4 linked regions of the Oreochromis niloticus genome follow. The protein of the gene in region 2 interacts with the protein of the main gene of each other region in a pairwise test. Links are inferred from orthologs where the notes say so. Each region holds a gene or a part of one and is shown on either strand. Other genes may lie near its edges. The genes, in order: flad1, cdkn1a, bccip and tex11.

The links.
Region 1: the proteins of cdkn1a (region 2) and flad1 interact in a two-hybrid assay, tested with the Homo sapiens proteins (2 studies listed by BioGRID and IntAct). The link is inferred for Oreochromis niloticus from reciprocal best matches to the Homo sapiens genes CDKN1A and FLAD1.
Region 3: the proteins of cdkn1a (region 2) and bccip interact in a two-hybrid assay, tested with the Homo sapiens proteins (2 studies listed by BioGRID, with this or other methods). The link is inferred for Oreochromis niloticus from reciprocal best matches to the Homo sapiens genes CDKN1A and BCCIP.
Region 4: the proteins of cdkn1a (region 2) and tex11 interact in binary tests that used the Homo sapiens proteins (3 or more experiments, as listed by UniProt). The link is inferred for Oreochromis niloticus from reciprocal best matches to the Homo sapiens genes CDKN1A and TEX11.

What each region holds. Positions count from the first base shown.
Region 1 is NC_031976.2:20,867,619-20,875,454, reverse strand, and holds the start of flad1 (FAD synthase), read right to left. Parts: upstream 3,095-7,836; coding exon 2,915-3,094; intron 2,350-2,914; coding exon 1,972-2,349; intron 1,280-1,971; coding exon 1,166-1,279; intron 861-1,165; coding exon 593-860; intron 240-592; coding exon 92-239; intron 1-91. UniProt on the Homo sapiens protein: Catalyzes the adenylation of flavin mononucleotide (FMN) to form flavin adenine dinucleotide (FAD) coenzyme.
Region 2 is NC_031970.2:21,861,272-21,869,000, reverse strand, and holds cdkn1a (cyclin-dependent kinase inhibitor 1), read left to right. Parts: upstream 1-4,720; 5' UTR 4,721-4,862; coding exon 4,863-4,865; intron 4,866-5,200; coding exon 5,201-5,651; intron 5,652-5,736; coding exon 5,737-5,792; 3' UTR 5,793-6,907; downstream 6,908-7,729. UniProt on the Homo sapiens protein: Plays an important role in controlling cell cycle progression and DNA damage-induced G2 arrest. Involved in p53/TP53 mediated inhibition of cellular proliferation in response to DNA damage.
Region 3 is NC_031973.2:11,325,081-11,333,021, reverse strand, and holds the start of bccip (protein BCCIP homolog), read left to right. Parts: upstream 1-4,889; 5' UTR 4,890-5,020; coding exon 5,021-5,161; intron 5,162-5,444; coding exon 5,445-5,519; intron 5,520-5,606; coding exon 5,607-5,687; intron 5,688-6,502; coding exon 6,503-6,592; intron 6,593-6,702; coding exon 6,703-6,890; intron 6,891-7,490; coding exon 7,491-7,659; intron 7,660-7,871; coding exon 7,872-7,941. Other genes in the region: uros (uroporphyrinogen-III synthase), read right to left, coding at 1,781-1,903, 2,002-2,100, 2,179-2,264, 2,395-2,478, 2,585-2,659, 3,526-3,600, 3,736-3,832, 3,921-4,004 and 1 more. UniProt on the Homo sapiens protein: During interphase, required for microtubule organizing and anchoring activities. During mitosis, required for the organization and stabilization of the spindle pole.
Region 4 is NC_031966.2:20,005,671-20,013,441, reverse strand, and holds the start of tex11 (testis-expressed protein 11), read left to right. Parts: upstream 1-4,735; 5' UTR 4,736-4,995; coding exon 4,996-5,023; intron 5,024-5,220; exon of another isoform or gene 5,221-5,363; intron 5,364-6,152; coding exon 6,153-6,265; intron 6,266-6,568; coding exon 6,569-6,653; intron 6,654-7,135; coding exon 7,136-7,215; intron 7,216-7,298; coding exon 7,299-7,379; intron 7,380-7,487; coding exon 7,488-7,607; intron 7,608-7,771. UniProt on the Homo sapiens protein: Regulator of crossing-over during meiosis. Involved in initiation and/or maintenance of chromosome synapsis and formation of crossovers.

The sequences.
Region 1 (7,836 bases), on a different chromosome or scaffold from region 2:
TCTCAGGTCATTTGTTTTTTTTCCCCCACAGATTAAAAAAATCCACAAAAATGTTTTAATTGTCTCATCTCGTCTTCTCCCCTCCTGTTACCGTTTCAGTGCAGCATAGTAGAGATGGAGCAGCGCTGTGCAGTCTTTGCCCCCGTTAAAGCCAACACAGATTTGCTCTGTTGAATACTGATGGAGTGCCGCCTCTATTGTTTTCAGTGCAGACATGACTTTCTCACCCAGCTCTGTACCTGTGGGAAGGAATCAACAGTAAGAGGATGGTTCATAGTTAATGCAGTCAAGCTGTGAGGCATCTTAGAAATGAGCCCACATTTCTACGTCTGATCCAAAGAAAAGAAAAAAAGCTGCGAGTAGTTTGTCATAGCTTAGTTGTTGAAGCTTTATTCTAATCTATTCACCATTCTGTCTCACAGTTATATTCTTCTTTTTTATTATCCACTCTGACTTTACGACTTAAATTACTTTCATATTTTAGCTTTCTTTATTGGTCCCAATGCCTGTGTAAAATGCACAAGTCAGTATTCACTTTATATCAAGATGACACATATTAAGAATCATCTTCCATTACTCTCCGCACACTCACCACTGTTGGCCAATCCGTACACCTCAGCGGGGGCTACGGACACCGGGTCTGTGACTAAGGGCACCACGCTCCCCTTGGGCAGCTTGTCTAGCAGCTGTATTCGGGCTTTGTCCACCTCCTGCTGGCTGTCTGCGTCCAGGACCAGCCTAACTCTGTGATAGTTGCTCAACCAGTCAGGGTAGGAGCCAAGAGCCACCTTTCGGCCCCAGCCAGCCTGCAGTTTGGTCAGCACAGGTGCAATGTCTGTTTCATCTGCATCAACAAACACCTGGACAAACACCAGATATCTGGTAAACTTAATTATACTATTTAAACACTGCATTCAAATCAACATTATTGTACTTAACTAAAAGTAAACTAAAAGGTAAAATACATTAAAAGTATCAAGGAAATATCAGAAATATAGAGGAAGTGTCATTACTTTAGTTAGTTTAACTAAAACTAGCTAAACTGTATTATAAACAAAAAGTAAAAAATAAATAAATACATAAAAATTAATTAGAAAAAAAACAGAAGTATACTAATTCTGACTTGGACTGGATTTGGAAGTAACAGGTTTGGTTATGGAGTTACCTCGCGAGTGTGAAAGGTGGTCCCTGAACCAGCAAAGAGATGCTCCAGCCCATTGAAGGCCTTCTCCATTAAAGATGGGATCCCGGGAAAGATGTACACATTACGTACACTGACCTGGGAGAAAAAGGTAGACACATCAAATTGTGAGAAAAGATGTGGGGCGGTACTCGAGCCATCATTGTTGAAACTATTGAGATATGATGCAGGAATAACATCACATCTCTGCAACCCAGAGACAGCTAACAATTGAGGGCAGATTTACAGTTTTGTAAATGTCAGATATTTATTTTTGCTAAGGTAAACGGCTGCTGGCTGGGGTTTCATTAGCAAACAAGCATGAGAATGGTATCCAACTCCTTCTCCACCTTTTGCCGAGACAGGGCACTTTCTTTAAGGGCTGTTCCTTCATTGTTTCATTTTAAATTCTGGATAGGATAATAATATACTGTACATTAATGTCTCTCAACTTGAAAGACAATAATAAAGCACCAAAGACATTAACCATCCTCTGTACTATATTGGTCCTTAAAGAGAAAAATGTCTAAATTTAATGACCTGTGAGTAAGAGGTGTGAATGCTTTTCATGCCTGGTGTCTGTGTGTGCTCAGAGTATTTATTGTTTTGACCACTGCAAGAAGCTATTTTCACTCCTTCAGCAACTAGTTAGTTTGCAATCTGTCTTGTAAAGAAAACACCCTCACTTTTTTTTTTTACCTTAAAGAAAGGTTGAACAGCGCCATGTAGCTTGGATATATTTGAAGTAATTTTGTGTTCTATAAAAATTCCTCTGTACCGAGTTCACTCACCAGAGGGTAGCGGTGCTTTTGTCCAGTCTGAGGGTCAGTTCCATAGTTAAGTTTGGCTGAGCGAGGCACCATCGCAAGCTTTATAGCAGCACTGTTTTTCTCCCCAACCCCGAAGAATTCTTCAACTAGCTGGCTGAGCTCTGGATTGGCATATAACTCCTCGTGGAATGCTATGGCAACACTCTCAAAGGTGACGTCATCGTGAGTGGGACCTATACCCCCCGATGTGAGGAGGTGCGTATACTGAGATGAAAGGAGGGCCACCTCTTTGGCAATGACCTCCTGCACATCCGGTATGACTGTTATGCGCTGCACAGACACTCCGAGTTTCCTAAGCGCTTTAGTTAGAAAGGCGCTGTTGGTATCCACTGTGTGACCCTGAAAGAGACACCCACATGTACATCAGATTCAAGAACTTAAAAAAAAAAAAGAAAGAAAGAAAGAAAGAAAGAAAGAAAGAAAGAAAGAAAAAAAGAAAGAAAGAAAAGAAAAAGGAAACTCCAAGGTCTTGCTTGATGAAATTCAAGGACTGCAGACCGATTTTCAGGCAGAGAGATGTGACATTGGACAGAAATCAAAGACTTCATGTTTAAATCATGATCATGTCAAGTCAAAAAAATAATAGTAAGCTTGTCATTTTAGAAACAGCCACAGCTCTCACATGAAGTAACCATCGCAGTTTTTTCCCCCCTGAGGTCATAAAATGCACATCAGAGACTGAATAGAGGTCCAGACACATAGGGATGCAGATGACAGTATATGTTAAACACTGCACAATGCAAGCTCCTACTTCTATCACAAAAAAACAAACAAAAAAACCCAATAACAGTTTATATTGATTTTTATCAATTGCACAAACTCCCAGTGATTTTCATTGGGTGCTGTCATACACATATAGCTTAAAAGCCACACAAGGCACAAGCTTTATCAACACCAAAAGCACCTTAAGAATCTCATCTCCAATGATGAGAATGGCTGCAGTAGGAGCATCCCCGTTGGCTGCAGAAGACGAACTGTTGCTCTGGAGGTTTGTTGACATGGTTGCCTTGCTGAGATGAGCTGCCAGTCTCCTCACACGCACCACTGCTCTACTCAGCTTAGGAAAAGAAAAGCTGGGAACCATGGAAACCAATTAATTGAGCACTTCTTACTACAGATTTATACTAGATTTATCAACACTCAGCAAAGTCAAAAAACCTATCGAGTCAACAAGACCTCTTTAGCACAGCATGTAAGCATATGCAATATGGAATGCATTGTGCAGTGTGCTCAACTGTTAATATGCAGATGGGTCACAAATTAAAGGAAAAGCCAGCATGTCTTACAAACAGTGATTTCTGTAATACCACAACAGAGGAAACAAATGTAGCCCATATCAAGGTCAGGTATTCAAGATCTTCCTGCAATTTGTCACTTATTTGTGCATTTTAATGTAGCATCTGAATTATTTTGCTGCATTTACAGTGACTAGAAATGTTTCTTACATCAGCATGAATCCACACAGAGCATCAGAAAAGGCTTCGCTGTTGTTCAGACCCTCTTCTCTGTCATAGTGTGTCTCCTAGCAGGAGGTATCTCTGGAAGAGGAAGGGTGAACTGTTAACATGTGAATAATTTGTGTATTTCTCCTGCATTTCCTTAAAATTTACTTTTTTTTAAAATCAGCTATTTATTTTTATAGGTCTTTTGATAAGGCTTTAAGTTGGAATTAAGTGGTTGAACTTGAAATAAGAAAAGAGTTGTATTTAAAACATTACACTTGATTAAAAGTCACTGATTGCTGATGAAAGAGTTTTATTTCTATTTAAATGTGTGTATTAACTGTTTTCCAATTGTATATAACTAAATTGCAGTAGTCCTATGTGCATCATTAACAATAAGATGGTGACGATTTGCTTTTTAATATTTTGTGCGTCTTTTAAGGTAGATATCATTTGATGCTGATGAAAAACACATTTTCCATCCAGTGTTTGAAACACTAGCAAAATGCTGACAAAATAGAACTCTGTGATAACAACGCAAAAACATCTATATGACATGGATTTGTTAAAAAGAGAAAAAAATGGTACTTAAATCCACTGTTAAGGGATAAACAGATCCGAAGCGTGAATTTAATGATACTTCTATTTGTCTTGTATGTTAAGCTTCACACTGTGCATTTGGTTTGGAGAGCAGCCTGGGAGTCACAGTTGCAGGAGGATAAAGCAAACAGTCATTTCTGGTATTTGCCAAAAATTGATTAGGGGTAAACTGTTGTAGATGACTTACTGGCCTATGATCTGTCAAACATGTCTCATGGACGATATCAAGTCAAAGTGACAAAGTAGAAGCTGAAATCAGTTTTTTGCAAAGTGACTTTTTTTTATCCAGGTAAAAAGTGTTTTTGGTTTTTTTAATAGTTTTTCAAGAGAGATCTGGAAAAGAGTGCAGAGATTGGAATAATTCATTTTAACCCCTTCGTAAATCCCGTTGACTACAGTCCATTAACCAACACAAGCAAACATATTAGACATAAAAAACGTAGAAACACTGGTATTCGCTTTTTGGCACAACTGCCTTGCACCTGCTTACACAGTTTGCATTGCGTAACATTTGTAAGTTATCTAACGGGACGAAATAAAAGTAAACTCAGACATATTCATTTATGGCCATACCAAATAATTAACTGAAACAAATGGCAAATATCACAAGTGTGTGAACGTGTGTAACACCTGAATGTAAATTCTTAGCTAACTCTAAGTCTCCTCGCTAGGTTACTTGTGGCAACAATAAAGAAGTACGATTTAAGTAGATGTGCATATTCCATTTTGTCTCTACTGTCGATATCTCTCGACGAATATGTTTAATGTGAGGAAAAGTCCGGGTGTTACATTTATTATTTGATAACCAACCTCATTAAAACCGAGGGAACTTACCCCTCAGCTGTAAATGTCCGTGCAAAGCTCCCTATCACCGGTAGCTACAGCTGCAGCTCGAGCTGTCGCTCAAGGTATGACGTGACCTTCAAACCACACTACGGTAGCCAATCATATTTCGGGAGGCGGGTCTTAACGGCCAGCACGTCATGTACACTAAAGTCATTTAAAGATGTGGCGGAATCAGCACAGTTAGTGAGGAGTAATAAATGTCGCTTATCTACTTTAAAAACAAGTATCAGCCAAACCATTAGTAACATAACTTTGCTGCTGCACCACCACCCGGAAGAGGACGGAGAATCACTTCTTCCTTTGCCCGATTCAAAAGAGATTACTGTTACTCGTGCGCCCCTGCTGAGTGGAGGAGTGAACTCCACGAAACCTAAATGCTGTTATTAAACTCATAATTACTTTCTTCGCCTGTGGGTGGAGCATGTTGGCATATATTTAACAGTTTTGTCTGCCTGTGGATGAAATATTAAACCGAAGTGGAGATGAATTGCTTCTCGCGCAGAGCATTTTACTGCCTTCAAACACATTGGCGGTTTAAGATATACTCTGTCCGTCTGAATTAATTAAAAATTAATAAATTTAAGCACTGATCATTCATCTGAACTCCTTGTACCTTTATGTCCGCTTAACCAGAGCGCGTATAACGATTCATTTATGTATTTTTTTTTCTATCAGATCATATGACCTACAAAATGATAAAGTATTCTATTGTTTTATTATTGTTCCAGTTATTATTATCTGTCCACTTTGCTGCTGTAATAATGCCCATTTCCCAGATGTAGGAGTAATAACAGCTATTTTATCTTATCTTACTCAGCAGAATGGGATTGCAGATCAAGTCCTTATCAACGTGAAAAATAAAAATGCTTTGTGTGATACAATTATATGATGGGCTATCATACAATTATATAAAAACTAGAAATGATTACGTGAATGGGCAATTCTGAGATGCAAGCACAACTGTATTCGTTTTGTTTCCTGGGGGAATGCATTTGAGTAAAATAAGGGCAAACTTGCTTCACAGGTACATTTTTACATGCTTCATTGGGAAAAAAAGAAAAAAAAGCGCACGTGTCAGTGCACCAACGCATGAACCGATCCACTGAATCAGCATGTACTAAAACTGTAGAATTCAGCCACTCCTTTGCCTTCGTACGTGATAATATGTGTATTATGCATACAATCTGTGCTAAAGATCTAGTTCTTGGGCTTTAGCGTCTTGCTCAATGTCATGTTTACTTGTTGGTGGTATGAGGATGCTGCGGCCTTAAGAAAGTTATCTCATCACCAAACTGCTTTACAAAAGAAAAGAAAAGAAAATCATATTCAAATGTATGGACATCACGACGAAATGTGTGTTTTAAAACATATGTAGTGCATATGTAGTCATGTCTGCGCATCCCACACTTTGCGGTAATAACACCTTAAAGCAGGCGGCAGCAGCTTATGCCCTGAGCTGATGCTGATGGTTTGTTTTGGTAGCGGATGCGGGTCATCGCGGTCTCTTTCTAAATGCTGGAAAAAGCAACACTTCAGGCAGAAAACAGCTGTTCTTGCGCTGTATTTATCTACGGTAAAGTACATGTGCAACTGCAGACTTATGGCTCGCGGTCAGGGATTTCTACTTTTGCGCAACCTACACTGACTAGTCCAGGTGCAATTTGGTACGCGAGCGCGTACGCACACACACACTCACACGGGAGTGGGGGAAAAGAAGAGAAAGAAAGAGAGAGCGAGAGAGAGAGAGAGAGAGAGAGAGAGAGGAGCCGGATGACGCTGCGTGGTTCGCGGAAGTGACTTCTGTCGTGATCGTGGAGGGGGAGGTAGGGGGAGGAGGCAGGGACGGAAAGGGAGAGGAAAGAAGAAGTTTAGAGTCTTCTTTTATGAAGTTAATCATCAAGTATACAAGGATCCCGGCGGACAAAACTGTCGACCCTTTGCCCTGTTATATGAAATTAAGCTGAAATTTGTGCAGCAGCAGCAGCAACAGAGCTTGGTGGGCAGGAGGGGCATTCAAGGGAAAGGGAGGAACAGAGCTGGTAAGTTGCTCGTTAAAGTTGCCCACACTTTTTTGGGGGGGCATGGTGTGGTCTGTGCGTGCCGTGCGTCAGCTATAGCACGTATGAAAAGTGTGAGGAAACTGATTATGTGCTAAATTTGTGGTCCCCGCAGGGACACATAGTTCTGCCGGACAATTCAATGTTTCGTTGTTATGTTACGCCACGGTGCAGTCGAGCCTGTTAGGTTACTGTAAGAAATATGTAAATGGTCAGGCTGGGGTGTGCACGAGTTAACTAAATGTTTAACTTCGTGCTTTCAAACTTTGTGTGTGTGTGTGTGTGTGTGTGCGTGTGTGTGTGTGTTGCCAGGTTTTATTATTAAAACTTGAAACCTAAGTAAGCTGTTGTTGGAGCCTCTCTTAAAGTAATAGCATAAGTTTACAATAGAAAGTCATCGTTGTGTCCTCTGGACGAACAAAAACAACAGAAAGCAGGTCACTCACATGCCCTTTCTTTTTTTTAACAGGCGCCAATAAACTCAAACTAAGTTAGACCTGAGCAAAATAAGACAGTTATTTGAGGATATTTTGTGGGTATAAAGGGCCAACTTTTTGCTGCTGTCGTCTTCTCCAACGTTCTTACTTTCCCTCTTTTGTATAAAAGCGATAAAAGGTGTAGGATTCTTGCACCTAGAACAAGTTTTTTCCCATCACATTGGAGATTATTATGAAAGACACATTTCACTACTCCTTCACTACTTAGCAATTTGTGGTTTTTTTGCTTCAGGGACTAAAGCCTGTCCTAGCTTTGCTGAAATCTGCCTGATTTGCTTCAGGCTATAAAGTGTCAGTGAGATAAGCCTTAGGAGCTATCAGTACACACACAAACCCACTCGCAAATCTGTACAAAATCAGACATTAAGAAAAGCTTACTTAATG
Region 2 (7,729 bases):
CAAAACAAAACTTAAGATGTTTAATACACATTTTTCTTTACATCCAGTCAATCAACTCTGATAATTAAAATGAAACTGATTTACAAGTTCACTCAGCTACCTTAAGGAGCTCAGTTAATTAATAAACTTAAATCAACTTAGCTAACAGATTATGTTAGTTAAGCTAAAATAGATTCCTAAGTTAAAAGAACTACTAAAGTATTTGAATTAACTAAAAAACCCAAGTCAACTGAACTAGGACAAGAGTTTAAACAATAGATTATTTTAATTTAGCTGAAAGGGTTTTCCCAAGTAAAGATGACAATTAAAGGAGTTGAACTGACTAATAAATCTCAGTCAACTAAACTAAGATGAAAGTTTAGACAACATGTGATTTTTCATTAAGATAACAATTGGTTGTGTTATAAGAACAAACTCTATTTCTTGACTTAACTTAAAATTTTAAGGCAGCCCTTTACCTCATATTTTTAAGTTGAAACAACAAGTTATATTTTACAGTGTATGTATAGTTTATTACTGTCTTGTCACTGCTGCTAGTATAAGATTGGGTTTATTCTGTAAAACTTGAAGATATTTTATAAAATAATTCTGTTATTCTTTTTAGTTTATTATGTCAAAGTAAGTTGCACTCATGGGCCACTTCTTTAGTTACATTAGTTGCCTTAAATTTCCAATAAGCTGACTGATTTTGGTCCATATAGAAAACAAAACCAGATACATGGGTAGATTTGCAAATCCATTATGCAAATGTCCCGTTTCACCACATCCAATGGTGCTCTATTGGGCTGAGATCTGGTGACTGTGGACACATTGGAGTACAGTTGTTCAAGAAACTAGTTTGAGATGATTTGAGCTTTGTGACATGGTGCATTGGTCAGCAGCAATACTCAGGTAGGATGTGGTGTTTAAGTGATGCTCAGTTGGAACTAAGGGACCTAAAGTGTGTGAAGAATATATCCCTCCACATTATTACACCATCGACAGCAGCCTGAAGTGTTGATACAAAGCTGGAGCGTGGATCTATCCATTCTTTCATGTTGCTTACAAAAAATCCTGAACATACAACCTGAATGTGGCAGCAGGAATCGAGACTCATCAGACCAGTTTTTTAGTGTCCAGTTTTTATGACTCCATACCAATTTAAGCCTATGTTTCCTCCTTTTGGCTGACAAGAGTGGTACCCTGTGTGGCCTTCTGGTGCTCTTCCTCCCCTCACCTTCAACCGGTTACAGCAGATGGTTGTCCCTCCCTCAGCCTGCTTCTGTCAGAGGTTTCTTCCTGTTAAAGGGGAGTTTTTCCTTCCCAGAAGCACTTGCTCATGAGGGGGTGGGGGTGTCCTCTAACTGATGGGGTTTTCTCATATTACTGTAGGGGTTTTACCTTACAATGTAAAGTGCCTTGAGGTGATTGTTGTTGTTATTTGACACCGTGTAAAGAAACAATTTTAACTGAACTGAGTTGAATAACTTGAGTATAACGTGTGGTTATGTGAGTTTATGTTGCCTTCCTATCAGCTCGAAGCAGTCTGTCCATCCTCCTCTGACATCAACAAGGCATTTTCACCCAGAGAACTGCTGCTTGCTGGGTATTTTCTCTTTTCTGGACAATATTGCAAACCCTGGAGATGTTTGTGTGGGAAAATCCCAGCACAGCAGCACTTTCTGAAATGCACAGACCAGCCCATCTGGCACCAAATTCCCTTAAATCACTTTTCTTCCCCGTTCTTATGCTTACTTTAAACGTTACCAGGTAATCTTCACCGTGTCTACACATCTAAAGTTGCCGCCATATGATTGGCATATTAGATATTGACGTTAACAGGCTGTTGAACATGTGTACCTAATGAAGAGGCCGGTGAATGCTGTCATATATAGAAGTGGTCGATACATATAGTGAGTTTTTTGGGGAGGGGGGGGCTACCACAGGAAGGATATATTTAAATTGGATACAGGTACAAAGAGCGCATGAGTGAAATTACCCAGTGTAGTTCCATTTACTGTTTACGAGTTTCTCCACTTTTACTTCTACTTTCTCCTTCGCTGCTCTCTGCTCTGTGATGCCAACAGAAACCGAAACGTCGCGTGAGCTGTTTTAGAAATGGGAGGAAGCAAACGAGATGTGTCATTGTGATGTATCCTGGAAACGGGACAAGTACAAACGCCGAAGCGCTCTGTCATGCGCACTGAGAAGCAGGGAGAGACGGGGAGGGGAGGCTGAGCTGGGCTGTGTCCTCCTGAGCTGGAATTTCCTCTCGTCTTCGACCCGAGCCAAGCTTCACGTGTGCTCATGTGTTTACCGGGCCAAATCCACGTGTGCGAGTCCCCCGAGTCTCCGCCTCTGGAATGGAAAGGAGGGTACCCGTCCACCGGAGCTCATAAAAGTTTAGCAGGAGTCCGTGTCTGTAAGAAATCTTAGGAGAAAGTGTCACGGAGAAGTATTTTCCTGTGAATCTGTTGGGTTACATAGCATCAGCCTCGTCCGTTTATTTACATCAGAGCTGCTGTGAAGACTGGAAATCAGAAAAACAGCGAGAGAAGGTGGATAACAGTCAGTTTTCCCCCAGCAAGTTTGAAAAAAGGAAGATTTTTTGTCTTTGAATTAAAATGTAAGTAAAACTAAAAGTTTGAATTTTTGCGCTTTGGTGGTTTCACTTGTGATTGGCCTGTTAGTGTATACAAGTCTAAAAAAACATCGCTGTTTACATTATATGGCTAAACAACCTGTAATGTTATAGGAGCTACTTTTAGTTTCAGTCCTACCTATATGCTTTATCTTTTTTTAATTTTCATTATTTATTTATATATTTGTTCGTTTAATCCCATAAATTACACGTTTCCATGACTACCTCCGTCCCCGTGCTGTTGTTGGGTTTATGTCTTTTAGCTGGTTTCAGTGTATCAACTCAAAACTTTACCAAAGCTTCCCGCACGGTTGTTTTTAGGTGTGTGTGGTTGTGGTTCGTTGGTGTGCAGAGGTGGTGGTGGTGGTGGTAAGGGCTCCAGACAGTGACAGCGCAGTTTGGCCGGCCAGCACGAGCTGCAGCCTCACGTGGACCTGTGTAGTAAACTGGGCAGGGTCCGAGCCGGTTCCAGCGCCGCCCGTGCATGACTCGTTCTCCCGCCACTCGCTTGAATCACTCCGCCCTCTCCTCTCACGCCGCGTCATACGCGTGACTGAGTGGATGGAAATGGGAGGGTGTGAGGAGGATAGTGGCTACAAGCTGTGTGTCCACCCTCTCCCAAAGTGTTTCAGTGTTTCTGATGTTTTACTTCATTCTGGATGAATTGGATTTATTTTGGGCTCCCCAGTTCTTCCCAGTGTAAGGACCCCCACCCACCCCTCCCTGACCTTTGTGCTTGCAGGTCCACAGTTATGTAACAGTGGGTGGGAAGGGGAAACAGTCTGTGCCACTCTGTAGGATCCACCCTGCCTCAGTGGCATTTTTCAGCAGGTGAGGTTAATATAGTAGTAATGTAGTAGTAAAGTGCAGGATTTGGATTTATCCAGCCATTAGTGCTGTGCTATCTTGTATTGATCCACTATCACCGATACCAATACTTTAAACCTATAAAGGGGAGAACAGTGTGTCTTGATTTGTAAGGTGAATCGTCATCTGTTTAAATGTGTGCAAATTCTGAACACATTTTAACTTTCAGCTTTTTATGTGTTCTTAAATTGTGTGTGTTTGTTTGTTTTTTGAGAACTGGGATATATATCTAAAGCAGTTTGAGTCAGCTTCTGTTATTTAAATGTGCCATAGGTTATAAATAAAATACACAAAAAAGGTTCAGACATTTTTATCGCCCGTAGTATCGATGCAGTACCAATACCAACTTTGGTATCCATCCTATTGATATTTCAATCAATCTGTCACTTTGCATTACTTAATTTATGTAATATTATCAAGAGACCTTTCAGTTTTTCTCTCGTTATTCCATCTGAAAGCCAAAGCTGAGCGGGGACATCAGTGAAACCAGGAGCAATAGCCTGGCCCTTCACATCAGTAATAAACTACTGGGCACAAAGACACAAGCGCATTCCTATCAGATGAAAAACTATATATGAGCCTGATCTTTGGGCAATGTGTGTTAAAGTTTTGCTGTTGTTGTTTTGTCTCCAAGATTTCGTTGAGCTTAGAATGAATGAACTGCAAACCTTGGACAGTCGCCACATTTGTGGGATGATGTAACAGGCCATGTTTTAACAAGATTTCCAGCCAAGTCATTTTAAGGACTGTGTTTATTGTAAAGCTTTGTTGAAAAAACTGGACTTAAGGTGCCAGTGAACAGTTACCAGGTTGTGTTGATGGATTTGCTTCTCTGCCTTATCTGGATTTCTCTTCATCGTCATTATTTTCATCATTTCTATAAAAACTCAAATCAGAGTGACCTCTCCCCCTCCTGCTGTTCTCAGCTGGATAATCATGATGGGAACCGCTTCTCATGATTGTTCCCTGAAAAGAAAATCCTGGGAATTCTGCCCAGTCCTTCCCGGATGGCCTTAATGACATCCACCTGAGACACACCTGATTCCTTCCTGTAGCCTTCGCAGTAAAGTGTTTGCTGTTTGTATGTAAGTCCCGTCCAGATCAGCAGATGTGGAAATAGGATTCATAAGTCACCGCCTCGGATTTTTACTCTGCAGGGGGCCTGATACTGCCACCTGGTGGTGATTCTCGGTGTTTGCGCTCTCGGTCGCTACTTAGGACTTGTCCTTACATGTCTGGTTGAGATTATGCCCTGGCATGTACCAGTGATTCAGAGAGAGGGAGGAGCGCTCAGTGAGTCACTGCCTTAGTATAAAAAGCTGCCCAGCGAGACCAGTGTGTTAGTTCACTGAGGAGCTTTACGCTGGTTTGAAAGATGGTAAGACAGATTTTTACTTTCATACTCGAGGCAGTATCAAGTAACTGAGATGGATGCACTTGTAATGGATTACAGAGCTCATTTTGCTTGGTTTAGAATAAGACTGGAGCTGAGGTTCCTCTCCTCCAGAGAAGTCACTGCATGTTTTACTTGTGCAACATTTCATCAGCACTGAGTGTCCGGGAGGATTCGTCTAATCGCTGGAGATGCTTAATTAATGGAGACAAAATTAACTTTCAAATATGCCATGTCTGGTTTATTATTGTTGCTACTTTTTAAAGCAAAATGCCAATCAGTGTTACTGTAACCAGAGATCTTCTCTCTGTTTTCATCAGTGTAGAGTGATGGCTTCTCACAAGCGAATCTTGGGGGTACTGAGAAAAAGACCAGCCCGGAGAAACCTGTTTGGGCCTGTGGACCGAGAGCAGCTACAGGTGGAGTACCAGGCCGCCATGCGTAACGACCTGGAGGAGGCTTCAAAGCGGTGGGGCTTTGACTTTAGCTTGGACAAGCCTCTGGAGAGCAGCGATTTCCAATGGGAGGGTGTCCCGAGCACTAGGGTGCCTCTGCTCTACAGGTCCTGTATGCAGGGTCTCGGACAGGCTGAAGGCCACAGGTCAGCAGAGACAGTTACTCCCAAGAGAGGAAGGGTGGAGACGGCACAGAGCGAGAAGGAGAACATCCCCGGTATGCCGGAGAACTGCATGCACGGCCGGGAGATGCTGGAGAAAACACCGGAGAAGGGCGAGAACACCGGGCTGAAGAGGAAGCAGACGAACATCACAGGTACGTGTTCCAGCTGAAAGCGAGAAGTCTCGTCATTTCACGTGAGAGTGCACGAGCTTAAAATTCCTGCACTTTATCCCAACAGATTTCTACCAGGCTAAAAGAAGAGTAGTGTGGATGCCCCGCAAATCCGGCGAGTGATATTCGGTGGAGAAACGCCAATATTCCAAGAGAACCACCCAGACAGGGCCACGCTCAGGAATCACACGTCCCGCACAGACTCTGGCCGTGCACCCAGGAGGGACCTCAACCACACGTCAATACAAAACAGTTAATTAGGGTACTGCAGTCACTCTGAGGAGATTGGTGTTTTTTTCCCTCAGTGGCAAGAATGCGACATTTGAGCAGAGAAGATTAACAGTAATCTCTGGAATCAGTGGATTTACACTCATTTGGGGGGGGGGATGCCAAAGTGTTGCCCGACTGCACATTCAGCCGCACTGAAAGGACAGTCACATCCGCTGGAGATGTGTCCATTAAAATCATCCAGTCTGATCATGTTTTTAAGGTGAGAAGACAAAGCTCTTTGGCTCCATAGTTCAAATCCATGATTGTTTTTCTACAGCATTTTTTCTACATGTGTATCACAAGGGCTTACCAGTCATCTTCTTTTTTTTACTGTCTAAAGTATGTCATACTTTTTATGTCCAGCTGTACACAGTGCTTTTATCGACAACCATTTAATCAAAGGAAGATGCTTGAAGAGTTCTGACATCTCAAACATGCAGTTGCTTTGCTTAGATTATAAAAGACAGAAGTGCCATCATGTCCTCTTCCATCCTTTTCCATCTACTTTACATCAGCTGATTTTTGATGTCCTTTGACAGCCCGATCCAGACTCTGATACTGATAATGTTGGCTAGGAACACTAAAACACTTTTATTTAGTTATATATGTATAAGAGGTATATCTATAAAGTTAAATATGGTATTGTCAGGTAGCATAATCATTTAAACTGCAGTGTTGCACATAAACACCCAGTATCAAGTGCCTTTACTGGCATTTGTTTTTGGTATTTAAAGCTCCTTCATCAAAAGCAAATGTATTATTTAGTAAGCTAAAATGACACATTTATTATTTTCTATTCACCGTGCAATCTAACTAATGATGTGTTTTGTTTTTGGTTTTTTTGCCTTAATTTGTTCTTTTTTTCCCCCTCTTGGCACTTATTTATGTCTACATTAGCAAATTCTGCTGCTATGGGTAATATGAATGGGTGTCGAGCGACGTCGCTGTGACGCTAACCCTCACCAACAGAGAGCTTTGAAATGCTCCGAAGCCGAGAAAATAAGCGAATGACCCCAAACAATGATTGCACTTCTGTTTGTAGATGCTTTCCTCTGTATTGTGTTTTGTTCAAGGCTGCAAGTGAAAATCTCTGTACTTATTTATTGTGAGATACGATGTCATGTGTTAATTTAGGTTTTGTTTAATTATTATGAAATCCAATAAAATGGTCAAATGAACCGCCTTGTGTCTTTAATGTGTCGTCACTTTACTTTTAAGTAGCAACGGTAAAACTATTACTTAGTTTGGCTGAACCCTTGCAGTGTTGTATCACAGTACAATTTCTCCATTAACGCCATTATACAATCACTAGCCACTTTATTAGGTACACCTCGCTAGCACCAGGTTGGATCTCTTTTTGTCTTCAGAAGTGCCTTAACTCTTTTTGCACAGATTGAACAGGGTGCTGGAAACAAACCTCAGAGGTTTTGGTCCATGTTGACATGAAAGCATCACACAGTTGGTGCAGATTTGTCAGCTGCATATCCAGATGTTCCACCACATCCCAAAGGTGCTCTACTGGACTGGGATCTGGTGACTGTGGAGGCCACTGTGGCGCTAAGGGGCCCAAAGTGTGCAAGAAAATATCCCCCACACCATTACACCATCCCCAGCAGCCTGAAGTGCTGACACAAGGCAGGATGCATCAATGTTTTTGTGCTGTTTGTGAAGCATTCTGACCCTACCATCTGAAGGCTGCAGCAAATATCGAGAGTCCTGAAACCAGACAACGTTTATCCAAACATCTAATGTTTAGCCCGTGCAAATTGTGGCTTCAGTTTCCTGTTCTT
Region 3 (7,941 bases), on a different chromosome or scaffold from region 2:
ATGTGTATCCTCCACAAATTCCAGTGGCGACACCTCACTCCACATCCTGAAAGCCAGTCTGAAGATGTACCTCTGGTCTTCAATAGTCAGCTGGCTGCTGTAGCCTTCTCCTATCAGCCTCCAGTTTAACACCTTCTTGAAAAAAAGCCATGTGGCCAGTTGGAGTCAAATCTCTCTTCCGCCTGCTTTTGGATATGAGACTTGCGAGATGTTCCTTCTTGCGTCTCACTGCTTCACTCTGATGCGCGTTCTCACTGAAATTCCCCATTTGGCTGCCCAGTCTGCTGTCGTGCGAGCTGTTTGGAGAAGTGATCTTTAAAAAGCTCTGTTGTATAATTCATGCTGGTGTCATTGGAAATGGCTGTGAGCACACCGTCTGCATCATTAAAATTTAATATGTCGTCTTCAGAGAAATTTGCAGTACCTAAAGAAGTGCCACTGATTATGTCACTTGCTGTGTTGTTCCTGTTGGTCTCAGTAAAACTGTCAGTGGTACTGTTTTCAAAATCAAAGTCACCACTGCTCTCAGGTTCTGTAGTGATGACAGGGCTGGTCAGAACAGTCTCTTTATCAGGGACTCCACACCTTGGTTTGTTCATTGCTAACTTGGTGGCCTCATCAAACACCCCTGTAACAGGCAGACCTGAAACCCTCTGAAACTCTTTAAGTGCTGAAATAAAGGCTTGGTTCTCATTTTGACGGTTATAGCCCTGCTGATCACCAGCTCGATGAGCAGCTCTCGAGTAAGACGCTGAGGTTCCCTCTTGGATTGTGGCTTGAAGATCGTCGAGGAAGTCACCGCTGAAAGAGGCATCTGAATCCTCAAACTGAACCTCCTCCCAGTTAACTGGCTTGATGAATCCATATCTAGAGAGAAATAACTAAAACAAGACACGGGTTACATTAGACAAATCCCCTGTCTGGTTAAATGGATGCTGAAGTTTGAGAAACACAGGTAGTCAAAAAAGAAGAAAAAACAATATACCTCAGCTGTGTACTTGTCTGTTATAGCCTGAGCTCGGTGAGAATTAAGGGTCTGCGTATCAGAATGATCCCGATTATGGAAAAGTTTCTCTGCATCAGTTGTGCTAATGTTGGTCAAAAAGAGCATAAATATCAGCTGGATTAAATTCAGCATCGTGGCCTTTAGCGGTTTACTCCTGGGTCTATATGCAAGATGAGATGATGACAAGTGAGGAGCAACGCTGCTTTATAAGCAAATCCTTAGCTTCTCCACACCCCTCCAGAGGTGTGACTCTACAGTAACCTGCTTTCTTCACCTCTGCGTGAAAAGTAAACTCATCTTTTACAATCTACGACTGCTCAATTTGACTCTTACTCTGTGGTTATGTTATACATGCTTCAGTGGTTTTAAATGGACTGCAGCTGATCCGTGGAAAGATGTTAAAACCTTCACATTCATGTGGACAGTAAAAGACAGGGATGACCCCTGCAAGCACTGTGTTGGACAGGAAATAAACACACAGAAACACACAAGCAATAACCACAGACAAAATCTTCAATATTATCAAAATGATTGGCTTTTATTTTCTCAGTCATTTTCTTACATCATATAAAGCAAATTATAATTTTATCTTAGACTTTCCTGGCTCTGGTGCTGCAAAAAATAACTTTTTCTCAGTGCAAAAATAGCAGAATCATATGTCCAACAACAATAAAGATGGGCAGTAAAGCAGTAAAACACACAAATAACAGTACGTATTTACATATATAATAACAACAAACACCAAAGATGAGGCAGGTGGATTTTAAAAGCTGGTCACTGCAGAGTTTTAGCTATCGCTATCGCCAGGTGTTCAGCTGTTGGCTTTTCTGCAGTGCAGCTGACACAAAGGCCTTCTGCTGCTATTGCATGTTGTGTAGTAGGCCCTATGGCTGCAAACTGGAAACAAAGACACTTACGTGAGTAAAGCTCTGTTAAGCACTTCAGATTCATGCATTATTTAAATCTATTTGTGTATGACTGTGAGGAAGATGTACCTTTATTTGAGTCAGCTGTTCAGCCGAGAGCCTCCGCACCACTTCAAGGCAAAACTTCACTCCTGATGGACTGAAGAAAGCTATGCTTGCTGGGATGCCCTATAAGCATACAAACAAATGAACAGCTGCTATACTGAAACAAATAAATAAATAAAAGCAATAAGAATGACACTTTACCTGCTCTGTGAAATAGTTCTTTAGATTTTTCTCCAGATCGGGATGTTCTGCTGTTTGATAGACAGTTAGTGTCTCTAGGGGCACTCCTGGAAACAAAGAAACAGATCCCAACAGTGATAAAGATAGTGCAATTATTATTTTATAATTAGAATAATCCCAATGGGAATTTTATCACCTTGAGTTTTAATTGTCAGGCACAACAGGGGGAATGCTTACCATTTTCCCTTAAAGCCGTGGGCAAGACTTCCCTTTTGATTGAGCCACAGGGGAAAAAAAGTGGTGGGATATTGGTGGCCTCTCCTATGACGGGAATTATACGTGAGATCATATGAGTAATAAGAGCAATCATAAAATTACTATTAAAATTAAACTGTGAGGAATGTGAGACTCCACAGTTACGCCGTACGTTCAATAATAAGTCGTGATAGGACCTCCGCTGTCCCGGTGTCCTCTCCCAAAGGGTTCAGACCTAGATTCTGTACTGTATGGGATAAAAATCATGAAAAGGAAAAAAAAATGATAAGCTATACAGTAATGTGGTAAATTCTTGAGCCACCCCACATTTCTTTATATTTTGCTAGAAAATGGGAAATAGGTGCAGCAAGGTTTTTAAAAGCAGAAAACACTAAACAAAAGACATTACGTTCTAGTCTTTTCTAAGTTGTCTGCTATGTGTAGACACAACAATTGTTCATTCCTTGACTTGGGTGCATTTTTTTTTTTTATACTTGATGCATTCATAGGCCAGTGTTAAGTGGCTTAACAACCAAACCGCATTCCTCTGAAAATGGCACAGTACAAAGCCTGGATTGAAAATAAGTGGAAAAACCAGCAAATGTCAGAAGACAAATTTGAAAGACCTTCTGAAAGCCTGGAGGAGTAACTCAAGAGCACTTTGAAAAATTACAAGGACGTCTGGGTCCTTGGAAGTAAAATACAAAGAAATGAGGGTGGCTCAATACTTTTGCACAGTCTGCTAAATACTGACATAAGAGCGTGGCAGAGAAAACACATTCATTCACTTCAACTAATTCAATAACTAAATTAGAAGCTCACTGAGAGACTCAAAATAAAAACCCACTGTGAAATGTTACTGAAAAGAAGAAGCTAAAGCACACATGTAGAAAGTGTTGCACCTGCTTGTTTTGTAAAGACACTGAACAATCACTAACGGCAAACTGTCACTTGTGTATAACAAATGGCTGAAGGTAGACAAAGCATTTCACACATCACTATGAGCACCAGGTGCCCGACACACTCTGGTGCAATTAGCACGAGTTTACAAGGAGCTCAAGACACAAAGGAGGATTTTGGGAGAAATTACCTTTGTCCATAGATGTGACTCACCTAATGAAGCAGTGGCCTTCCCAACCACATAGATGGACTTGGTGTTCCACTTGTCTTTCGCTGCTTTGTCCCATTCTCAATAGCACAACATACACTGGGCATTACAGAAATGTACTACAGAAACTTGACTTGTTTTTTTAAGGTTTTTACCAAAAAAAGTCATTTCTATCAATGATATACAGCAGCTTCGAGAAAAGTAATGTTTATCACCTTCCCTTCTTTCATCCGCTTCCAAACACATCCTTACAGCCTCCACTGCTCTTGGACTGGTAAATATGAGCCCACCATATTTCTCTGGTTGGAAAAGCTGGAATAAGCAAAATACATGAATCCACTGAATATGCAAACTGTTAAAATGAACGGATTAATGAATGGACAATGGAACAACAATTTACCTTATCTGACAAAGTGTTTAATGATACAAACTTAAAAGACAGCACCGGAAGTAGGGTTCCTTTATGTCCGCGTGATTCCAGCTCCTTCGAAGTGAAAATAATAACGGTTATACTGACAAATTTTAAGAAACTGGTTTAAGTTAGTTGATTTAACTGTAAAGGGCGTGTACCTTAATATAGGGATCAGATCCAGACTCTCCATCTTTTGGTTCTTTAAGCAGCAATACACGCATCTTGAAACACTGGATTATTAAAATAACAAAGATGGTTAATTCCGAACAAACCAAGGTAAAATAGGTTTACTAAGGTCTGCAATAATGTCAAAGTCAGAGGCTTAAGCTACAAAAACACTGAGGACATTGGGTGTGAATGCATTTTAAGCAACGTTACACCCTAAAACGGTCACATGCTGATAAGACTGTTGTTGAGTCACGATCATAAGACTGTGCATGAACAGCGAATAAATTAAGCGAATGGGCCATTTTAGTTAAAAGTGTATGTGAAGTGTCTTCTTCCGTAAGAGTGTTCTTGTTTACCCTAGCAAGACACGGTGCATGACAGACTATCTACGGTAGCAATTAACAGAACCTGTCTGTGATAATGTGTGATAGAAGCGAATATTTTATCCGCGTATAGCTACAGTGACACGAAGTACAAACGGTGAAAAAGACGAAATATTAGGCAAAATTTATGTACCTGGAGTGTTCATTCAGACTTTCATCATCCACGGTCGAGGAGGGGAGACAGAACACTGTCTAATTGACTAACCTTGTAAAATAATCGTATTACAAGTAGTATTACAAGAATGTGTTTATTTAATTTAAAAATATAGTTTCAATAATTTAAATTAATATCTACTACATGTGACAAAGGGTTCGGGGGCATGTGAATTTATTTTCGTCCCCGTTTTATAGAATGGTTTATTCCATTTCACCAACGGGCAACAAGCCGACATTGAAGCTCTGAATGTGGATTTAATAAGCGGCAAGCCGTGTATATGTGGAGCCATAATGGCGGCTTCAGGGTTTCAGTTTCGTAGCTGACAGTTGCTAGTCTTTGCCCCGCCCACTTAGTAGACACGTGTGTTTTAAGTTTGCAGCATGGCTTCATTGGCTAAGAAAAGGGCAGTAGGTTTTGGTGAAAAACCCGAGGAAAGTGACAACAGCTCCGATGAGAATCCAGAGGAGGAAGACGATTCCGGAGAAGAGGACAGTGAGGCGTCAGATGAGGAAATTAATGAGGTAAAAGAACAAACACGTCTTAGAAGGGAGGCATGGCCTTGCTAACTAGTTAGCTAAGTCAGCAGTAGGGCTAATGTGAACAGAAAGGCTCATGAAAATATTTTTTTGGTTAATCATGTGAGAAAATAAATAACTAATATACTAGAATATGTTATTTCGAAGATACTGTACTTGAATACGCTGTAATAAGTTAACCCTGTGAAACTAATATCGGAAAGTTTCGCACAACTAATCAGAGTATGGGTTACAATAAAACTTGCAATTACGACTTCTACGCTTTCAGGAGGTCGTTGTAGACTTTGAAGCTCACACCATCTCAGACAATGACTTCAACGGCATAAAGAAGCTGCTGCAGCAGGTTTGGGTTTAGTATTGTTATTTCACGTTTCAAATACTGTGTGTAAGCAGGTGTCACTGACGTCATTTCTGTTATGTTTGGATACAGCTTTTCTTAAAAGCTCATGTGGATACATCAGAGATGACACACATCATCATCCAACAAAATCATGTTGGAAGTGTCATCAAGGTGAGAGATGTCATGATAATTTGGGCTTTCAGTGATTTCTTTGAACTTCATCTTAATGCAAACAATGCATACTGCACACATCTTAATGACTTAAAAAACAGCATTTGGGAGTACATGTTTGAATTTCTTTTGGCGTTTTATTAATCCAAATGGGATCAAAAGCAAACACGAGGAACCAAAAGGCTCAAATATATACATACATTTATTTAAATATTTTGATTAGTGGTGCTGAAGGTTATACAGTGTCTTGACTTGATGAGGCCAAGGCCTATTTATCTTATTTGTAATCATTATTTACTACAACTGGTAGTTTATCTTTAACAGCAATACTCAGCAGTTATTCGAATGTGGGACAACTTTGCCAAGATCTGGACAAAGACCTAAACTGTCACCCTCAGATGAGTTGTTTTGAGAGTTGGTTTGGATGTTCAGGAACAACTCAGAAACCACCAAAGTTCAAGCTGTGAACTGGAAACTGCTGGAACACCAGCAATAATTCACTGTCCACAGAGAATCCTTTGAACCTAAGAACACTATACTTTCAAACATGGTGGTGGTAGCATGATGCTCTGGAGCTGCTTTGCTGCTAACAGCATTGCTACATTGTACAAAGTGGATGGCAACATTAGGCTGGAATAAATTCAAATGTGTGCACCCAAGTGTTTTCTTTTTTAAAAGATGTATGTTGTGCAATCATTCCACCAGGAAAAGGAACGGACAAAAAAAATCATTTAAAACCCAAGATTGACATTCATGCTCATTCACATTCATTTCTGAGCAGCTGTTTATTTACTCGTCTCTCCACTATGCTCCAGCAAGCTGAGGCGCCCGAAGACAGCGACGATGACGACGACCCAGATGAAGTGTTTGGCTTCATCACCATGCTAAACCTCACAGAGAGAAAGGTCAGATGACTAGCAAACTAAAACTAATTAGTCTTGAATGGGCTGGAATATGTCAGTGTTTTGTTTTTTTTAATATAAATTTTCATACTCACGTCTTGTACTGTTCATAGGGTGTACAATGTGTGGAGGAGGTGAAGGAGCTGATTGTGGATCAGTGTGAGAAGAATGCTTCTCATATTGTGACAGAACAGCTGGAGAAGATCTTTAATGATAACAGCAAGCCTGTGGGGCTGCTGCTAAGTGAGCGCTTCATCAATGTGCCTCCACAGATTGCCCTTCCACTGCACAAACAGCTCCAGTAAGTTCTGCTTTACCTTCTTATTCCATCTTTAGTGTTTTGTTATTGTTGTGAGAGCAGGTAGAACATGGTCAGGATGGTGTTTGAAAACACTGAAATAAGACGGAACAAGTGCAATACTTTGCAAATCTTATAAATCAGCATTTTATTCACAGTAGAATGTATGAAAGATATCAAATATTTAAACTGAGACCTTTTAGTATTGCATGAAATATATTAGCAGCAACACATCTTAAAAATGTTGGGACAGGGCCATGTTTACAATAGTGTAGGATCCCCTCTTAACAAGTGTTGAACATCTGGGAACTGATATTTACCAGTTAACCTAATTGGCTACAAATTATTCCAGCTTTTTCTTTTTAATACCACTTACTTTTCCACCTTTCTGTTGCTCTTATCCCAACTTTTTAATACATGCTGCTGTCATCAAATTCAAAATGAGCTAATATTTTATGAAACATTTGATGTTTTGTGTTCTATTAATAAAAATTGTTGGTGAGATTTGGAAACTATTCCATTCTGTTTTATTTATTTTTTTAATAGAAACTAGAAAAACATCCATGTGTGTGGTTAAAAGATTTTCATGTTACGGTCCTTTAGGGAAGAAATCGCTGACGCTCAGAGGACAAATAAGCCCAGTGGGAGGTGCCACTACTGCCTGATTATCAGCAAGACCTGTAGAGAAGAGACCAAGAGCATCCCAGCCACAGGAGGAGCTCCCAAAGAGGAATACATGTTTGTTAATGCAGAGGAGGAATTCTTTTATGAGGTAAAGTCGGAAAGAAATCTGCACAAAGTTCAAGGTTTTAACTAAATATTTATTATACACGGGGCTACTTACTTAACAGTATCTGGGTAAAAATACAGCAGTTCGTTAGCTCATGTCAAACTTCAGATAAATATTCATTTAAACAGCCATCTGATAAGCTATTCAATATATTTATACTCTGATTTCAAGCCTGGTCCGTGTTTTCCTTACAGCAAGCCATCTTGAAGTTCCACTACACAGTCCAAGAAGAGGCAGACTCCTGTTTAAGTGGGAGGTGGTCAT
Region 4 (7,771 bases), on a different chromosome or scaffold from region 2:
ACCAGGCAACTTTTTCCAGTCTTCTCCAATTTTGGTGAGCCTCTGTGAATAGTATCCTCAGGCTCCTGTTCTTAGCAGTTCTTACATTGTTACATTTTCTTCAAGGCTGGATATGTTGTGAATTCAGAGATGCTTGTCTGATTTAATAATCATAGTTACCTGATTCTCATTTACACAGGTTACCTAAATGCTTTAAGTTACTGCCATATAAATGGCCCATTAGATATTTGTGTAATCCGAAGTAGAACCTAATGAAGTGGCCAGATAGTGTGTTCCACTATGTTAACAAAACTAATACTTGCATGAATTCAGTTCTATAAATTTGTAATTTTTAAGTCCTGGACAGAAGTTTGCAGAAGTCAGAGCATTTTGGAAACTGTGTTACTGTATTAGGATCAATGCATTTGTCTCACCGATGTCTTTTAGCTCCATCTAGTGTTGATTGGGAAAAGCGGCACTTAAGAGAAGGTGAGCCTATTGTAAAATAGCAAAAAGGACATTACTGGGAAAGTCTACATCTATAGCAATATTTGTTTCTCTTAATAGGAAACAAAAATGGTTTAATAAATATATTGATACAACAGATTAAGCGGTTTTGTTGAATTCACACACCAAATGAACACTATTTTCTTTATTCTTAACATTTGCCCTTCCAAGATGAGAGAAGCACCTTTTGTGCAAATGTATTCCATGCTGCTGGTTTAAAAAGTTGCTTTCCTCAGCCCCTGAGTTCTCAAAAGGAGATTTACTCAAGAATCAAAGCAACATAGTTGAAGCTTTGGCAGAGGTTTTCTCGGTAATATGTCAGTTATTGTGTTAGAAGTCTCTAGTCCAGAAATTTAGACAGGCAAAAAGAAATCAGTGCTTGTAAGAAAGCAAGAAATCAAAGCTCAAAAATCAAACTGTCTAGATATTCTCCAGACCCATGTCTAAGGTGGTGTTGAGTCAAATGACCTCATATTGCTGTTGAGTCACCCAGGCTACAGATCACGAATGGAAAAACAAAGAGATGGAGAAATAGTTGCTGAATGTCTGGTCAACTCAATGTGAGAGTGAAGTTTTACATATAACAAGGACAAATCAAATCAAGTTTAAGATCATGTTGTTGGGTGGAGTTGGGCTCTATGGGTGCCTTTGTCCTAGATGTCTTTTGCATTATTTTATCAAGACATCTAGAATAAATCCTGACATATCTTTAGAAACTTGGGTTATCAAATGTTTACGGCATGAATTTCTAGTGACTGATCCACGCTATTTGGAATTAGTAAGGCAAGTTAGTTAGATAACTGTAGAAACTAAGCATCACCTTTTAACAGAAAGTATTATTATTCCTCTGTTTTCTGCTCCCTTAAGAAGTCACCACAGCTGATAATCTCCCTTAATCTCACCCTATCCCTACCATGCTCTTATGCATATCCTTCTTCAGTGCATGCATGAATCTTCCTTGTTGTCCTCTTGTTTCATACTTAACAACCTTTGCACACCTAAACAATCTTGCATTAAACACATAGCCCAGTGGAAAAGAAAGCAACCCCCTCCAGCAACTAAATATGTTCACCTGGCCTTCAAACTCTCCAGCTCATAATCAAGCATCCCTGGGATAAGCTGTAATAACCCTGATCCACACAGACCCCACCCTGCAACACACAGGATCCAATTTCCCATTGCCAGCCACTACAGGACGCCCCCACAATTCCCTTGTTCACACTCCAATGGGTCAGAAGTGTTCTGGCAGCATAAGAGCGGTCCTATGCAATATTTTGCAGATGGTTTTACAGTCATGTTGTGATTTCTTAGTATTCCTGTAGTAACTTCTTGAGCTAAATACAATATACTCCCCTAACAGAGACATATGGAAACTTAGGCCTTCATCTTTTCTTTGATTTGAATTGCGTGCATACACATAAAAATGGGAATATTTCAGCTTTTAGAGAGAAAACATTTACTTCAATGAAGAGCGTAAAATATCTAAGTGAGATGTCAGACTTTCATAATGTCATAGTGCTTTTGCCTACCTTAGTACCTTTGAGTATCAAAAAGGTATCAATAAGGGTGGAAGTTTTATTTGGGAAAATGATGAACCTGTCAGAGAGGCACTTTGTTCTTTACACCTGTAAATGGCAGTAAATATGGGAGTCTTTTTAATCCTATTATTAATTTTTTGTGTGATTTGAAACAGAATCATATTCCAATTTGAAAATTGAAAAAGCCTTACTCGACCTCCTCTTTCTGCTTAGCTCTGATTCCCTCTCTTTTCCTGATACCTGTTGCCAGAAAGAAACCAGAAAGTTTTATGTACTTTGACTTACAACTAGATTTTTGGTTTTACACATAAGATAAATTGTTTTCTAACCATAATATCAGAAGGATTTGGCAAGATAATATTACAGTCGCGTGTCCGTCTATGATACCGATGATATTCTCACTATGATACCTGTATTAACAACCACAAGGAGAGACACCTGTACACTGAAAAACAGAACAGGTCTCTGTTCAGGCATTTAGAATTACTGATAAAAAAGATGGATGTGCTTTTGTGGTAACATTACAACTTACAGTCCAAATACCAATTCACTACTTTTTATTTGTTGCCTGGCGAGCTCTCTTTTTCTGTGTCATCCTGATGTCTATATCTACAACAAATAATAAACCCTTAATTTCCCACACTAGTTACTATAAGTACAGGTATTTCAATCTACTTTCCAAGCATGTGATGACTGGAAAATGTCATTTGGCAATAAATGTAAACAAGTGCGCTAAGCCAGCATTACAAGACTTCTTAGATTTACCAAGAAATAAGGGCTTATACTTTTTTTTCCCTTTATGGCCACAATGCCAACAAAGATTGCTGAACTCTGAGTAAATATTGCAGGAGAACCAAAGAGAGTTATGAGAAAATACTTTGTCAGAAAACCTCAGATAACCTGTGAGTATTATATCAACCACAGACTTTATTTAAGAGCTATTGATGCCGACATGAGATCAATATCAGTTAGTGTTGGCAAAGTTAAAACTTAGAGCACGCCCTGTCAAAACATTTAGTTTTCTACAGAACTCCATTATCTGTAAGCAAACACGTGTCTTACTTTGTTTTGTACACTGCTAGCAATTCAGCTTTGCACTGAGCTGACCTTAAAATGACTGAACAATCAAATTTAATATGACTTTACTGCCTTATTTTATGTTCCCAGAAAGCTAAAGCCCTGCATAGCCTGGATCATCTTGTGCTCCAGTAGATGACCCTTCTCTCAAAAGCCCTTGCTGTTTCTTATTTCTGTTTTAATTATTTTTAAATTGAAACACTACATAAACATAAGCCATATACATAAAACACTACACAACACATACATAGACCAAGGTAGATAAGGGGAAAAAAGACAAATAATTTTCAACAAGCAGGGAGCGTTCTAGTAATCAATACAAATTAATTACAAATTTGCAAAAAATTTAAATAAAATAAAAAAATCAGGTCTATAGAGTGCTACATAGTTGACAAAATGTTCTCAGTATGAAACAAATTGTTCTCATTTATACTTAAGAAATGCTGTTATCATATCCATTTTATAAATGCCCATTGTTTTTTCCAGCCTACAACCTTGGGGATCTCCCATAAGTACTTCCTCATCCATTCTGTAAGTATGTACCCAAAATATGCTAACTTTTATGCTAACTAACTTTTCGTAGAAGATATTTAGCTGCTGGAGGGGGTTGCTTTCTTTTGCACAGGGCTATGTGTTTAATACAAGATCTTTTCAAATTCCTATTACCAACCTCTGAGTTATATGCTTTTCTAAACAGTCCTATTAAATAGTGACTTCCACTCACTTTAAACATTTCAAAACGGTGCAGTTTTCCTTCTTTTATTATATTGTATAGAAATCAGAATCATATGCACACAATAAAATCACAACTCAAGGATTTGATAATATAAATGTCTTGCTCTAGTTTATGTTCTTTTATAACACTTTTATGTACCTTAAGAGTCAATTTCACCTAATATTTATATAACCTTGTAAATTGTTATATGATACAATTGGCTGTATGGGAATGGGAGGTATTTTCTTTTTAGTGTTTTTCCATGTGTATTTTATGATGGGCTACACTACTACAAAACAATAATCTCTAAAAGAAGGTAGTCCCAATCTCCCCATTGCAAGTTTTGAGATGAACTGTGGGTCTTGTAGGACCTTGCCCCTTCTAATTCTCTAGCAAATAACTTTCTATAGAAGATGGGGATAAAACAGTAACCAACAGAAACTCTCTTTACTACGGAAGCGTAGAGCTGCCACCCAGGCAAAAGAAAAATAGAAGTATATCACGTTATAACGTGAAAAGTTTATTGTTCTAACAAGATACTTTTCATGTTTGTACAATATACTATCATGTTTGTACAATATACTTTTGACGTTTGAACAATATAATATCACGTTATTACAATATGCATAATTATCACGTTCGTACAATATAAATATCACGTTCGTACAATATAAATATCACGTTCGTACAATATAAATATATTGTACGAACAATATAAATATATTGTACGAACGTGATATTTATGCATATTGTAATAACGTGATATTATATTGTTCAAACGTCAAAAGTATATTGTACAAACATGATAGTATATTGTACAAACATGAAAAGTATCTTGTTAGAACAATAAACTTTTCACGCTATAACGTGATATACTTCTTTTTTTCTTTTGCCTGGGTGGCAGCTCTACGCTTCCGTACTTTACCCCTTTGTTTAATGGTATTTGATTTTTGTCACACCTGCAATTATTATCAAGCTAGTATTAGGAACAGTTTAAGGTAGGCAGAATAATTCCCTCTATTGGAGTAATAGCTCTTTTATATTGCTGTTGTTTTGATATCCTCGCTCTCTTTTTCGCGGGCATTTTTGATAGCCGTCAATCAAATGCCAACATTTCAGTGAGGCGCTAGCTGCTAGCACCTAGCCTGACTGATATTTTTATTCCACAAAAAGTTAAACATGGAGGAACTTACCTCAACTGTGAAAAGTGAGTAACTGACTCGTTCTCTTGACCCACCTATTTATTTATTAAAGTGCTTTTACCAACTGGAGCTGTAGCTTAGTTGTTAATTTAGCTTCCAACCTAGCTAATTCACTAACTGTTAGGTTGCGTCTATTATCTGGATGCACAATAGCTAATAACAGTTTTGTGCCTCTGGTATATTAGCTAAATGTTACTCAAGCCATGGAAGTAATAGTTATTTTTCTAAAAGACAAAGGGAACTAAACAGGCAAAGTCTGAAAATCCCAAAAGCTGTATTATTAAAACTTACTGCTGTTGTGACTGCAGCAAGAAAAAGTTAGCCAGCAGGCTGCCATCTACATTTGTATGTACAAATCTACACCTGGGTAACAATTTGAAACTTTTAAAGCAGTTTTTAATGGAGAGTAAATTCTCTTTATTCAATGGGTAAAAAGGGTACTTGAAGACCTTATGTGTATTTCAAACAGGGTCTTAGAATTTTTAAAGAAACTGCTGTGTTATAGACTTTTTATAAATTTTGTCCAGCCTGTGAAATGCCTGATAATGCAAATGATTAGAGGCATAAAATTGGGGTTCATGTTATCCACTAAATTGCTCATGTTATCTTGGTCACCAGCCACAGTGAATTATTGTTATATTTTACATTATTATAACAAGCTAGCCCCCTAACTTGAAGCTAATATGTAAATGAATACTTTTTTAAAAAAAAATTGCAACTAATTAACCTGATTTGGGATGTATGACTCATATTTCATTTTAGATTATATTCTACCTAGATGAACAATCATTAATAAATGGCTTAATATTTCAGTGCTAATAGCCTAACATTAAGACACAAGAGAATATCTGAATTATTTTTGAAATGAGAAAGGACATCAATGTAGTCAAACTGGATTTTGAGACAGATTTTTAACTTATACAAAAGAATAAGAAAGTGGGGTGCTCTCCATGTCACACACATTATTGTCTTGCACAAACAGTATCTGGTTTTCTTTATAGTGTAGAAAATTCGGATATTCTTATTGCATGAAAAATCAGATGTCACTTTCCACTTCAGAAGACAACGTGTCCTCTGTTACCCTGTTTGTATCCTGTCAACGTCTGTCTTTGTTGACTTTTTTTTAATACACAGGTCTCACTGAGCTCCTGCTGCAAAAGCAGCTAACAGATTATGATGAAGTGATAGAGAAGCTCTTCTCTGAAGTCCCTGGACTTGAGGCTATGCCCAAAATACCAGATCCGCAGGTAGACAAAAACATGTCAGCTTGTTTAACTATACGCCACAAGTCAGTAGTGATGTAAAGTTATAGTATAACAATAAAAACAAAAAATAAAATAAAATGGAGAATTAACAAAATAGTTATGGAAGAAATTTTTTACACCGCTAATATTCTTGTTTAATAGAGCTGAATTAATCTGACCTACTACAAGTTATATGACTGCTGCAACGGTTCCATGAAGTTTAAAGACTGCAATTTAATGTAATATTGTTAATACTCATATGCAAGAAGCTGGCATAATTTTATTTTTTTGTTGTCTTGTTTACAGCTGGAGGAGTGTGCCATCAAGCTGTGGAACTGGGGAGTTACTAAGAATGTGGGTGTCACAATAAGTACAATTCAAAAAGCCCAAGGTAAATTTGTATTTGTATTGTTCCACCCCTCATTTTTTGTATTTTGCTAGGAAAATACGAAATAGATACAGAAATGCATTTAAACATGCAAATGTGCATGGAAATATATAAGACAAAAACAGTCTGTACTATTCTAACAAGTTTCAAAGTTAATATTTGGTATGAGCACCTTTATTGTTCAACCCATCGTAAATTTTAAAGGTTTCTTGTAATTTCTTTAAGTAGTCTTAAGGAATAGTTCTCCAGGCTTCTTGAAGGAGATTCAAAGCTCTTCTTTGGAAGTTGGCTGCCTTTTTTCAGTTCTCTGTCAAGATGATCCCACTTTGATCTCATTTTGACTTTAATAATATTGAGGTCTGGACTCTGAGCAGGCCAGTCCAAGACTGATAGTGTTCCACTGTGCATTTTTCTATGCTTTACTGCAGTGGCAGTATTTTGGGATCTTCTCTCCTCACATTCAAATAATCTTACTATGCTTACAGTGCGTCATGTTGCATGCAGTCTGTTGTACTGCTGTGAGCCTGAGAACCCAACAGAGGGCACCATTCGCAAGCAGATTCTGGTAAGCAGTACTGAAGGCAGCCTCTGTGAGTGCCCAATGTTTCTGGAGGACAAGGCATGTTTGTCAGTGTCTAATCTTTACAGATGGCCAGCAAAACAGGGAGAACCTGGCTGGACTGCAAAAATCCCCAGATGGCAGATAAATACTTAAGCCTTGCTGTCAAGGTGAAGAAGAAAATAACACTCATACTGATAGTCTCTTAATTCTGTGTAGGTTTGAAGCAAAGACAAATACCATGTTTTTAGAAATGACTCAAAATCTAATATCCCCAGAGCCTTGAAATCCTCTATAGCCAACTGATGTCCAGAGGCAATGGCACAGCTGACATCAGTTCATCCAAGGAGGATGTGGAGAAGGATCTACTTCGAATTCTCTCATACCAAGCAGAATCGGTGAGCTGTGGCGCATGTGATGTTCGACACCTTCGATGTGAATATTTGTTCTTGTGATATTTGGCAGCTTAGGAAGTGCCATTCTGACAGACTTGCAGTGTGAAGTGTGAGACAGCTAAAATGTGAACTGAGAAACAATGAGAGGGGTAAATTTCTGACAGCTA